2 linked regions of the Schizosaccharomyces pombe genome follow. The gene in region 2 interacts genetically with the main gene of each other region. Each region holds a gene or a part of one and is shown on either strand. Other genes may lie near its edges.

Evidence for each region.
Region 1: mutations in mxr1 (region 2) and met6 impair growth when combined (synthetic growth defect), as found in Schizosaccharomyces pombe (one study listed by BioGRID).

What each region holds. Positions count from the first base shown.
Region 1 is NC_003423.3:4,088,101-4,093,288, forward strand, and holds met6 (homoserine O-acetyltransferase Met6), read right to left. Parts: upstream 3,149-5,188; 5' UTR 2,727-3,148; coding exon 1,261-2,726; exon of another isoform or gene 1,219-1,260; coding exon 1,179-1,218; 3' UTR 586-1,178; downstream 1-585. Other genes in the region: dolichyl-phosphate beta-glucosyltransferase Alg5, read left to right, coding at 4,228-4,284, 4,440-5,188. UniProt on the Schizosaccharomyces pombe protein: Commits homoserine to the methionine biosynthesis pathway by catalyzing its O-acetylation.
Region 2 is NC_003424.3:4,409,140-4,413,025, reverse strand, and holds mxr1 (peptide methionine sulfoxide reductase), read left to right. Parts: upstream 1-1,799; 5' UTR 1,800-1,853; coding exon 1,854-2,337; intron 2,338-2,392; coding exon 2,393-2,421; 3' UTR 2,422-2,634; coding exon of another isoform or gene 2,635-2,834; 3' UTR 2,835-2,835; coding exon of another isoform or gene 2,836-3,253; 3' UTR 3,254-3,348; downstream 3,349-3,886. Other genes in the region: SPOM_SPAC29E6.06C (cysteine--tRNA(Cys) ligase Crs1), read left to right, coding at 1-1,371. UniProt on the Schizosaccharomyces pombe protein: Has an important function as a repair enzyme for proteins that have been inactivated by oxidation. Catalyzes the reversible oxidation-reduction of methionine sulfoxide in proteins to methionine.

The sequences.
Region 1 (5,188 bases), on a different chromosome or scaffold from region 2:
CCAAAAATTTTTGATTTGGAACTGGTGTTCTTGGCAAGTATCTCTTCTAGATATACTGAATTTCTCTCTACTGCTTTGTGACTGCTTCTTGTGCTTCCGTCTAAGTAACAGCTGATGGAAAAGAAAGATAACGTAGCGGCTTGTATTGTGTTATAAAAATGTAAACAAAACCACCAGAATACTCCTTTTTCAAGTTTAACAAGATTTTTATCATGTCCGGTGTAAAGGCACGTGAATATAGAGCTTTGTGTTCTCGAAATAAGCACTTTCATAAATGATTGACCCAGTATGTTGTGATGTAAACCATAGCTTGGATACGGTCGGTGCGTTGTTTTTCCTCATGACCGGCAAGGATCTGTCGCTAACTCTACGAACCCGGAAGAAGCAATCTTGATTTTGCCCCAGATATCCGCTTCCTAGTCCGAGTTCCAATAATCTTATCCTATGCTGTATTGCTCTCTCTTCATACCACGGTGGATTGCTACATTTGTTTTTCCATAGTATATCGAATTGTATTCTCTTTATCCACGAAATAAAACTTTCAACAAAAAAAAAACAAAATAGTTTATTAAACATTGTTTTTATAAAATCTATATATTAAACACTGAACGACTGTAAATCCCATCAACAAACGCTTCATAGAATTTTTTTTGGTGGCATTAAAAAAGAATTAGTCCCCATGTTGGAGGGGTGAGAATGTAATTTTCAAATTTCATATTGTGGCAAAGTGATTTCGCTAGATACAACTGGAATATTTCCATATACGCATCACTCTTCAAGAAGATGCATATCTATCCAAGAATCGGTTAGACGAATGCAGAAAGGGTTGAAATAGGTTTAACAAGGTTTTGGCAATTTCTATCAATGTATACTACATTTTCTTCTTTCTTAAAGAAAGGCATACAAGGAAACCATCCAGCTCAATCGCTCTCTAATTCACTGCCCGCAGGAACCTAAATTGACAAAACAATAAGAAAAGAAAGGTGGAATGAGAAGTTGAAAAGCTAACGAAAAAAACCATGTTTTGAAAATTAACATCCTTTTTAAATAAAATAGTCATAATATACGTTTCAAGCTCATTAACGAAAGTGATCGTGTTTATACATGAGGAGTTGAATCCTCAAGTTGACTAAACTAGCACACGATCTTTCTCCCCAGGCCGTTGGTCCGTAGGATACTTATACCACTGTAACACCAGGATGGTAACCAGTAGGATAACTATTGGTAAGTTATCAACAATCCTAAAAACACTTTACTTACCAGGAGGTTATGTCTTCCATTTCTCCAAAAACGCTTTCGCGGTTGGTATCATTAACTTGGGAATCAAGTCGCTCAAAGGAATTAGTTTGAGACATGATATCAATTAAATGTTCCTTTTGGAATTTTTGAATATGTGAGTTTACTTGAGTAAACTCAAGCAAAAAACCGTCGTGGCCTTCGGCCGAAATAATTTTTTCCAAGGTAGCATTGGGAAAAGATTTGGCAATTTCAACTTGTTCGTCAAATGTGAAAAGACCATCGCTTTCAATACCGAGTACGAGTACGGGTAAAGACAAATCCTTCATGACTTCCTTAGGAGAGTCTGAACCGCGTCCACGAGTAATATCATGGGTGTCCAACTTTTTAGTAATCGAAATGTAACAATTAGCATCAAAGCGACTTACAAACTTCTTCGCTTGGTAACGTAAATACGATTGCGCAGAGAAGTAAGTATTAGCAGGACGTCTTAATAACGAACTCTGGTTAAGGGAAGAACTGTCTGTAGTCTGAGAGGCACCTAAAGAAGGTAAAGACGAGACAGAAGAGGCGGGGGAATTTAAAGCACTTTCAGAAGTAGGTGATGATCCATTGGATCGACAAGGTCGTTCACGGCGATTACGGTTTCCTTCGTTGTGAACGACCCAATGTGCATTACTGGGCGTGAGAGGAGTGGGTAAACGATCTGGATAGGGGTGACGAGACGCATCAGGAACAGTACGGGCAAAGCGACGTTCGAAAGAACATTTGGAGCGATATGTCAACAAGGCAGACATACGAGCAGCTCCAAGGCCACTTACAGGCTGATCGTCTATGCCGTAGTATCCATCATTAAACTTAGGGTCAGAATATATACTCTGGCGTTGCGCTTCAGACCAGCTAATGCACCACGCGGAATGACGAAGAGAGGTAGAAATGGGAACAATTGATCGCACAAATTCCTTATCAAATGCCCACTCCAAAACCAGCATACCACCCATGGAGCCACCTACTGCCATAGCAATTTGCTTTACACCCAATCTTTGTAAAATAAGTTTATGGATGTTTACATCATCACGTATGGTTGCTAAAGGAAATTCTGGCCCATAAACACTATGAGTCTCAGCGTTCCATGTAACAGGAGAGGCGCTTCCGTATGGGCTACCAAGAGAATTAAGGCATACGATAAAGAAATGTGATGGATCAAACGCACGACCAGGACCGAGTAAAGGACCCCACCAATCTCCAGCATCAGCAGAACCACTTAAAGCATGACAAAGAAGAAGACAATTGTTTCCTTCTTTATTCAAAGTACCCCAAGTCTTGAAGGCAACGGGAACATCGTAAAGGATGTCGCCACACTCCAACGTAAATTTGGGAACAATTGCAATTTTTTGATCTGAAATAAGCTGAACAAATTTATTTTCTTGCTGAGACGGATGACAGGAGTCAGTAAAGACAATTGATTCAATCGGAGATTGAGATTCCATTTTTATCAAACGATTGATAGTCAAATTTTGAAAAAATGAAAGAAACTAAATTTTTTGATAGAACTGAGTTCTCAAAGATGTAACTAACAAAACTCAATGGTAGGAGTTTTAAATAACCAAAAAAAAATTTTTTGACAAAAGCAGATTAGTGTAAGGTTTAACACAAAGAATGAATTACTTGCTTTTGTGTTGAGTAAGCAAATACAATTAGCTTCTCTTCTTTTAAGCGTGAAAAACAAAAAATCGAAAAACCAGAAAGTTTTTACGAAAAAAAACCAAAACTAACGGTATTGCGCAGCAATAAAAATTTTAGGTTTTTTAGTACCAGGAACGGTAAGCAACTATATTTGCTAATTTGTTAAATTCCAAAGTTACCCAAAAACACTTGAATACCAAGATTTTTTTTCCTATTCGGTTATGGTGAAAGGAGAAGTGGTAAGTTTATAAACTTTTATCTCAACCTAATTTAACGGTCTGCTTAGTATTTTGTTAGACAACATTAATTGAACGGTAATCAATAACCGAGTTTGGTATACGGGTACTTCATAATATGCTATTCAAACAACGAGACTTTTTTGTTATCTTATATAAATATAACAGTTTTAACCGTAATTTCAGTAAAATCATGTATGAAAAGGATGAATTTATTAAAAAAATTACAAAGGCTAATGTTTTATAAAAAGTCATTTCATGGATCAGGACTCTGCGAGATCAACTTTCGAAGATAAACGAATCGATAAGGAAAAGGTGTAATAATGTTAAATAAACAGGCGCTTGGTCTAAATAATGATTACTTGCTAGTTTCCTTAAATTTACAATTAATTGACTTGAAGCCAATTTTAAACAAGTGTTTTCAACGTTAAGTGTTTTAGTTTATCAATTTACAAATGAAGGAATACTCAAGACATATTTTATGACCCAGCCAAACCTGTAGTTCATCCTATTCAAAAAGGTTAAGGCAATTGAACAACTTGCGCCCTTAATACTAAGTAGCCGTAAGATATATCATACGATGTTCCATGAAAAAATATTTATATCCACGCAGAATTACAGTCATGTAAGTTTTTTAGGAAAGAGTAAAGGCACCTATTCTTTTAATACAATGTCTCCCAAATAGTCAAAATAATTATATAATTATAACAAGTATGCTTGACTTTTGTGATCTATCAGAAGTTGAGCAACAATGAGAGTCTATTGTAATCGATATGTCTATGCTTAATTGCTTGTAAAAGTAGACATTTTAAGTTGTTGACTGCTACTCACCAACTCGTACTAAAAAATTCGTCTGCTATGACTAAACGATTACTGTTGTCCAGTCCAGTCGGCAGTTAGCCAGAGCCAAACACAAATAATCCCACCGCATGCTTTGTAACTGCAAAAGCTCGGATTTCATTAAAAAATAGCTTAGAGTATAAACGGAGTGGAGTAATTTTTTTTTTGAATGAGTTATTTCTTCCAATATCATAAATCTTAACCCTTCTGCTTTTTGCATAGTTACGACATGGTAGTATACATCGTTTTATACACCTGCCTTGCGGGATTTATCCTTTTGTTCTTGGTAAGCAATATTAGCTAGCATGCTTCTCATTCATGTCCACCCGTCGGTAAATAAGGTCGTTGCGGGCAGAACCTGTTTAGTTTATCTGTACTTTCGATTTTTTGATGTGACATTAGACCAAATTTTTCCCCGAATATTCATTAACCCAAATATAGGTTTACTATTATTTAACTCATTCTCATTGCCCGAGGAAGCAACTGGAAGGAGAGGAAACATGTGTATTCATTGAGAACGGTCAAAAAAAAAGTTTGACTCTTGAGAAGTGGAGCACTTCTGATAATATACAAATAACGGTCATTGTTCCCGCGTATAATGAGTCTAAACGAATCGGAAACATGCTCCAAGAGACAGTCGATCACTTGGAAAAATATTATCGTTCCTCTTCTTCAGCAGGACAACGTCGGTGGGAGATCCTTATAGTTGACGACGAGAGTAAGGATACGACGGTGAATGCAGTGCTAGAGTTTTCTAACAAACTGGATTTGCGGGATCATTTACGAGTTTGCTCACTCAAACGGAATCGTGGTAAAGGCGGTGCGGTAACTTGGGGCATGTTGTACGCTAGAGGTCAATATGCAATTTTTGCTGATGCAGATGGTGCTTCTCAATTTTCTGATTTGGAGCTCCTTTTTAAAAATATGCCACCCGGACCAAGGGGTGGTGTCGTTGTTGGCTCGCGTGCTCATATGGTGAACACGGCTGCAGTAGTAAAGCGCTCATTTATTAGGAACTTTTTGATGCACTGTTTTCACAAACTTTTACAAATCTTAGGGATCAGGGAGATTGGCGATACGCAATGTGGCTTCAAGCTTTTTTCTCGTGAGGCATATCAAAGTATTTTCCCTCGTATGCATGTTGAAGGATGGATTTTTGATATTGAAGTATTAACACTTGCTCGTTTTTT
Region 2 (3,886 bases):
AATCGAGAGTTAATTGCTGAGGGCGAGGGTTCCTTGGCTGCTCTCACCGGTAAAAAGCGTCCGGGAGACTTTGCGCTTTGGAAGGCCAGTAAACCTGGTGAACCCTCTTGGGATAGTCCTTGGTCCAAAGGACGTCCTGGTTGGCATATCGAATGTTCTGTCATGGCTAGCGCTCTACTTGGTTCCAATATTGATATTCACTCTGGTGGAATTGATTTGGCATTCCCTCATCACGATAATGAGTTGGCACAAAGTGAGGCCTATTTTGACTGTCCCCAATGGGTGAATTATTTCTTTCATGCAGGTCATTTGCATATTGAAGGCCAGAAAATGTCTAAATCTCTTAAAAATTTTATCACTATTAAAGAAATTTTAAAGAAGTTTACACCTAGACAATTACGCTTGGCATTCTTACTTCAACAATGGAACACTCAACTCGATTTTAAGGAGACCCTTTTGGCATATGTCTTAAACATTGAACAAGCCTTAGAGAATTTCTTCCGGACTGTTAGAGCTCTCATGAATGAAACTGAAGGTGTAAGCGCTAATGGGGGTCACGTACCTGAAAAATTTGATAAGCTAGAAATTGAGTTACTTGAAAAATTCCAACAAACTCAGCAAAATACCCATCTTGCTCTTTGTGATAGTTTTAATACTCCTTTGGTCATGCAACACATTGATAATTTGGTTACTCAAGCCAACATTTATATTCGTGAAGTTGGTCAACAACCTTGCTCACGTTTACTTGGACAAATTGCATCATGGATCACTTCGATGCTCCAAATTTTTGGCCTCGATGAAAACGGCCACCCCAACGCTGTTGGATGGTCATCATCGAAAGGAAGTTCTTCGGAGAACACTGATGCCATGCCATACATTAGGGCTGTATCTTCATTCCGCGATCGTGTAAGGGAGCTTTGCATTGCTAAAGCTTCTTCTCAGGAGATTCTCAAAGCTTGTGATATATTTAGAGACTATGATATGGCTGCACTTGGTGTTAGTTTTAATGATCGTCCCCAAGGTTCTGCACTTGTCAAACTTGTTGATGCTGAAGAGTTAATTGCTGCTAGGGAGCAAAAGCTTGAAGAGGAGAGAGCTAAGCAAGCTAAGAAAGCACAAGCAAAAGCCGAACAGGAAAAGAAGCAAGTGGAACGTGTTATGAAGGGAAAGACATCACCATCAGAGATGTTTAAAATGTTCAAAGAATACCTTTCATTCGATGAAGCGGGTTTACCTACAAAAATGCGCGGCGAAGACGGCTCGGAAATAGACGTTCCCAAAAGCCGTAAGAAAAAATTGCAAAAAGAATACGCTCAACAAGAAAAATTACATAAGGAGTATTTGTCGTATATTGAATCTAACAAATCTTGAGTGCTAGTCATTTCTAGTGTTTGATACTGGTGTAAAAATAAGAGAGGAAGTCGAATTTTATAAAATCAATATAATACTACCTTTTACAGTGAACTCTTGTTTGTATTTTGATATATTGTTTTATTATAGCAATCTAATTCCCTCAGTGCGCATATCCTGATACAACTTGTAAATCGTTAGCCCTTAATCGCACTGATAGCTACTTTAATGAACAGGTTATGGATGAGTTGGAGATACTTCTTCGTAGATTCCGTAAGTTTAATATAGCAAAAAATGTATATATATATCTACCTCAACTTGCTCAAAGGCGTTTAGCGAGATATTTCACATATAGTAGCTTATTACCCTATTACCTCAATTAGTAATAATTAGCCGCTAAGCTTATGAATTGAAACATGAAGCACTGTTCGACGTTATACAAATTAATTATCCGCCTTTACCAATTCCATTACACATTTTCAAACATTTAAATATTTTAAAAAATGCAGATTGCTATTATTGCTGCTGGTTGTTTTTGGGGAGTCCAAGAAGTGTATCTTAGAAAGTTCATCCCTGCAGCTGCCATTTTAAAAACTTCTGTAGGATATACGGGAGGAATCACTGCAGATCCTACATACAAAGAAGTTTGTACTAATACTACTAATCATGCGGAAGCCTTAAAGATTGAATTCGATGAAAAATTGACTAGTTACGATAAGATTATTGAATTTTTCTTTGCCATGCACGATCCCACTACGTCTAATCAGCAGGGTAATGACATTGGTACTCAGTATCGTTCCGCAATCTTTACTACAAATCCTGAACAGGCAACCATTGCTAAAAGAGTCATGAACGAGGTGCAGGCAAAGCATTATCCTAATAAGAAAATTGTAACCCAAATTCTTCCAGCTGGTAAATGGTGGGATGCCGAAGATTATCATCAGCTTTACCTTGAAAAAAATCCTGATGGGTACAGGTGCAGCTCACGTATGAATATTAAATGCCAAGTAAACCAGAAAGTGTTACTAACTCATTCGATTAGATTTTTTGCGTTGGAATGTTTTTGAGTAAAAGTGACGAAACATAGATTGCGTGTTTCTTTTTCCATTTTGTTTTTCTTAAGTTGGGATTGCAAACTTAGTTATGTGGTACAGACCAAGACTGGTCTGAAGCTAAGTACGATGTCAAAATGCTACTTAATTAGTACTATTATTGTTGTGAGTTCCAAAAATCATATAGTTTTGTTCGCATATAATTATGCAACTGATTAGAAATTTACTTCTTTCAACGTTCTATATTTCCTTGTTCGTTGAGTGCATTAGTCCATGTAGAAGAAGGGTTTTGGATGTATGGAAGTAGATCATTAAGTGTATCATGTGCTTCTTTAGCTAAATTTTTTTCATTCATTCCATAAACTGTTTTCTCCAATTTTTGAATTAACGATTGCATTCTGGATATACAATCTTCAGTTGCTTTTTCTTCCCGCCGCGATCTGTGTCGATAACCCTTCATTTTCTTTGTCAATATCCAACAGATCCTGATTAAGCTTATCAAGAAGTTCTCTTTTATGAGAATACAAATGTGCTTTTAGAATTTCTTGAGGCTGTTTATTACTAATGTCAACCTCTGACTCTCCATGCAATTTGCGAAATTCAGCATCATGAATGCATTCATCTAGCATATCCAATTTTTTGTTTAAATCTCTTTCTTTAATCAGGTTTGCGTACTCTTGTTTACACGATTTCTCAAAGAACTCAATCAGCTGCTGATGGATGACTGCTATAACTTTCCCCTTTTTCATGGAAGGAAAACATTGTGCGAACTTTTCCAAAGGAATGTGAGCTATAGTTTCTGACAAAGTTCTCGATAAAAAGGCATCCAGCTGCTCCTTTCGACTAGTCATATAAAGTAATCCCAAATAATTTATAGTAATTTAAGCCTGAATTAGCGACAAAGATGAACTTGCGAAGCAATGAAAATACGTTTGAATAACAGCAACGTTACTATTTAGATTTTTTGTGTAAATCTATCTTAAATAAAAGAAATTATGAACGTATTACTGTAATTCAATTGTCTTTAATTCACTCCTAAATGGCATGGGTCCGAAAATATATATAAAATTGGTTCAGAATTAGCTTTTCCTAGTTGTTCTCAGATTTTTAAGTAAATTCACGTTTGTCGTGTGGTCCGGGAGAAATGCTTTGTTTACATTGAACATAGCGTAATGCATTGCAGTTTCTAATAATTTCTTATAAGCGAGGGCTAACTACTTTTATATTGGGGAACTTCTGACAGCTGAAATCCTGCTGTTTGCCTTTGCGTGCATTCGCTCACTTGATGGATATTTTTCATAAAAGTTACAATGTGATTCTATCACCTCCCAAAGTTCAGCAGGCGGATGAAACGATATCGAAGCTCTGTGATCGGTTGGAACATGCTACGCTTTTTGAAGATCGAAAAGCTGCTGCTCTCGGAATTAAGAGCTTTGCGAGAGAGTTTAAGGAGGTATGATTTTTTTAAATACTAGTTTGAGGTT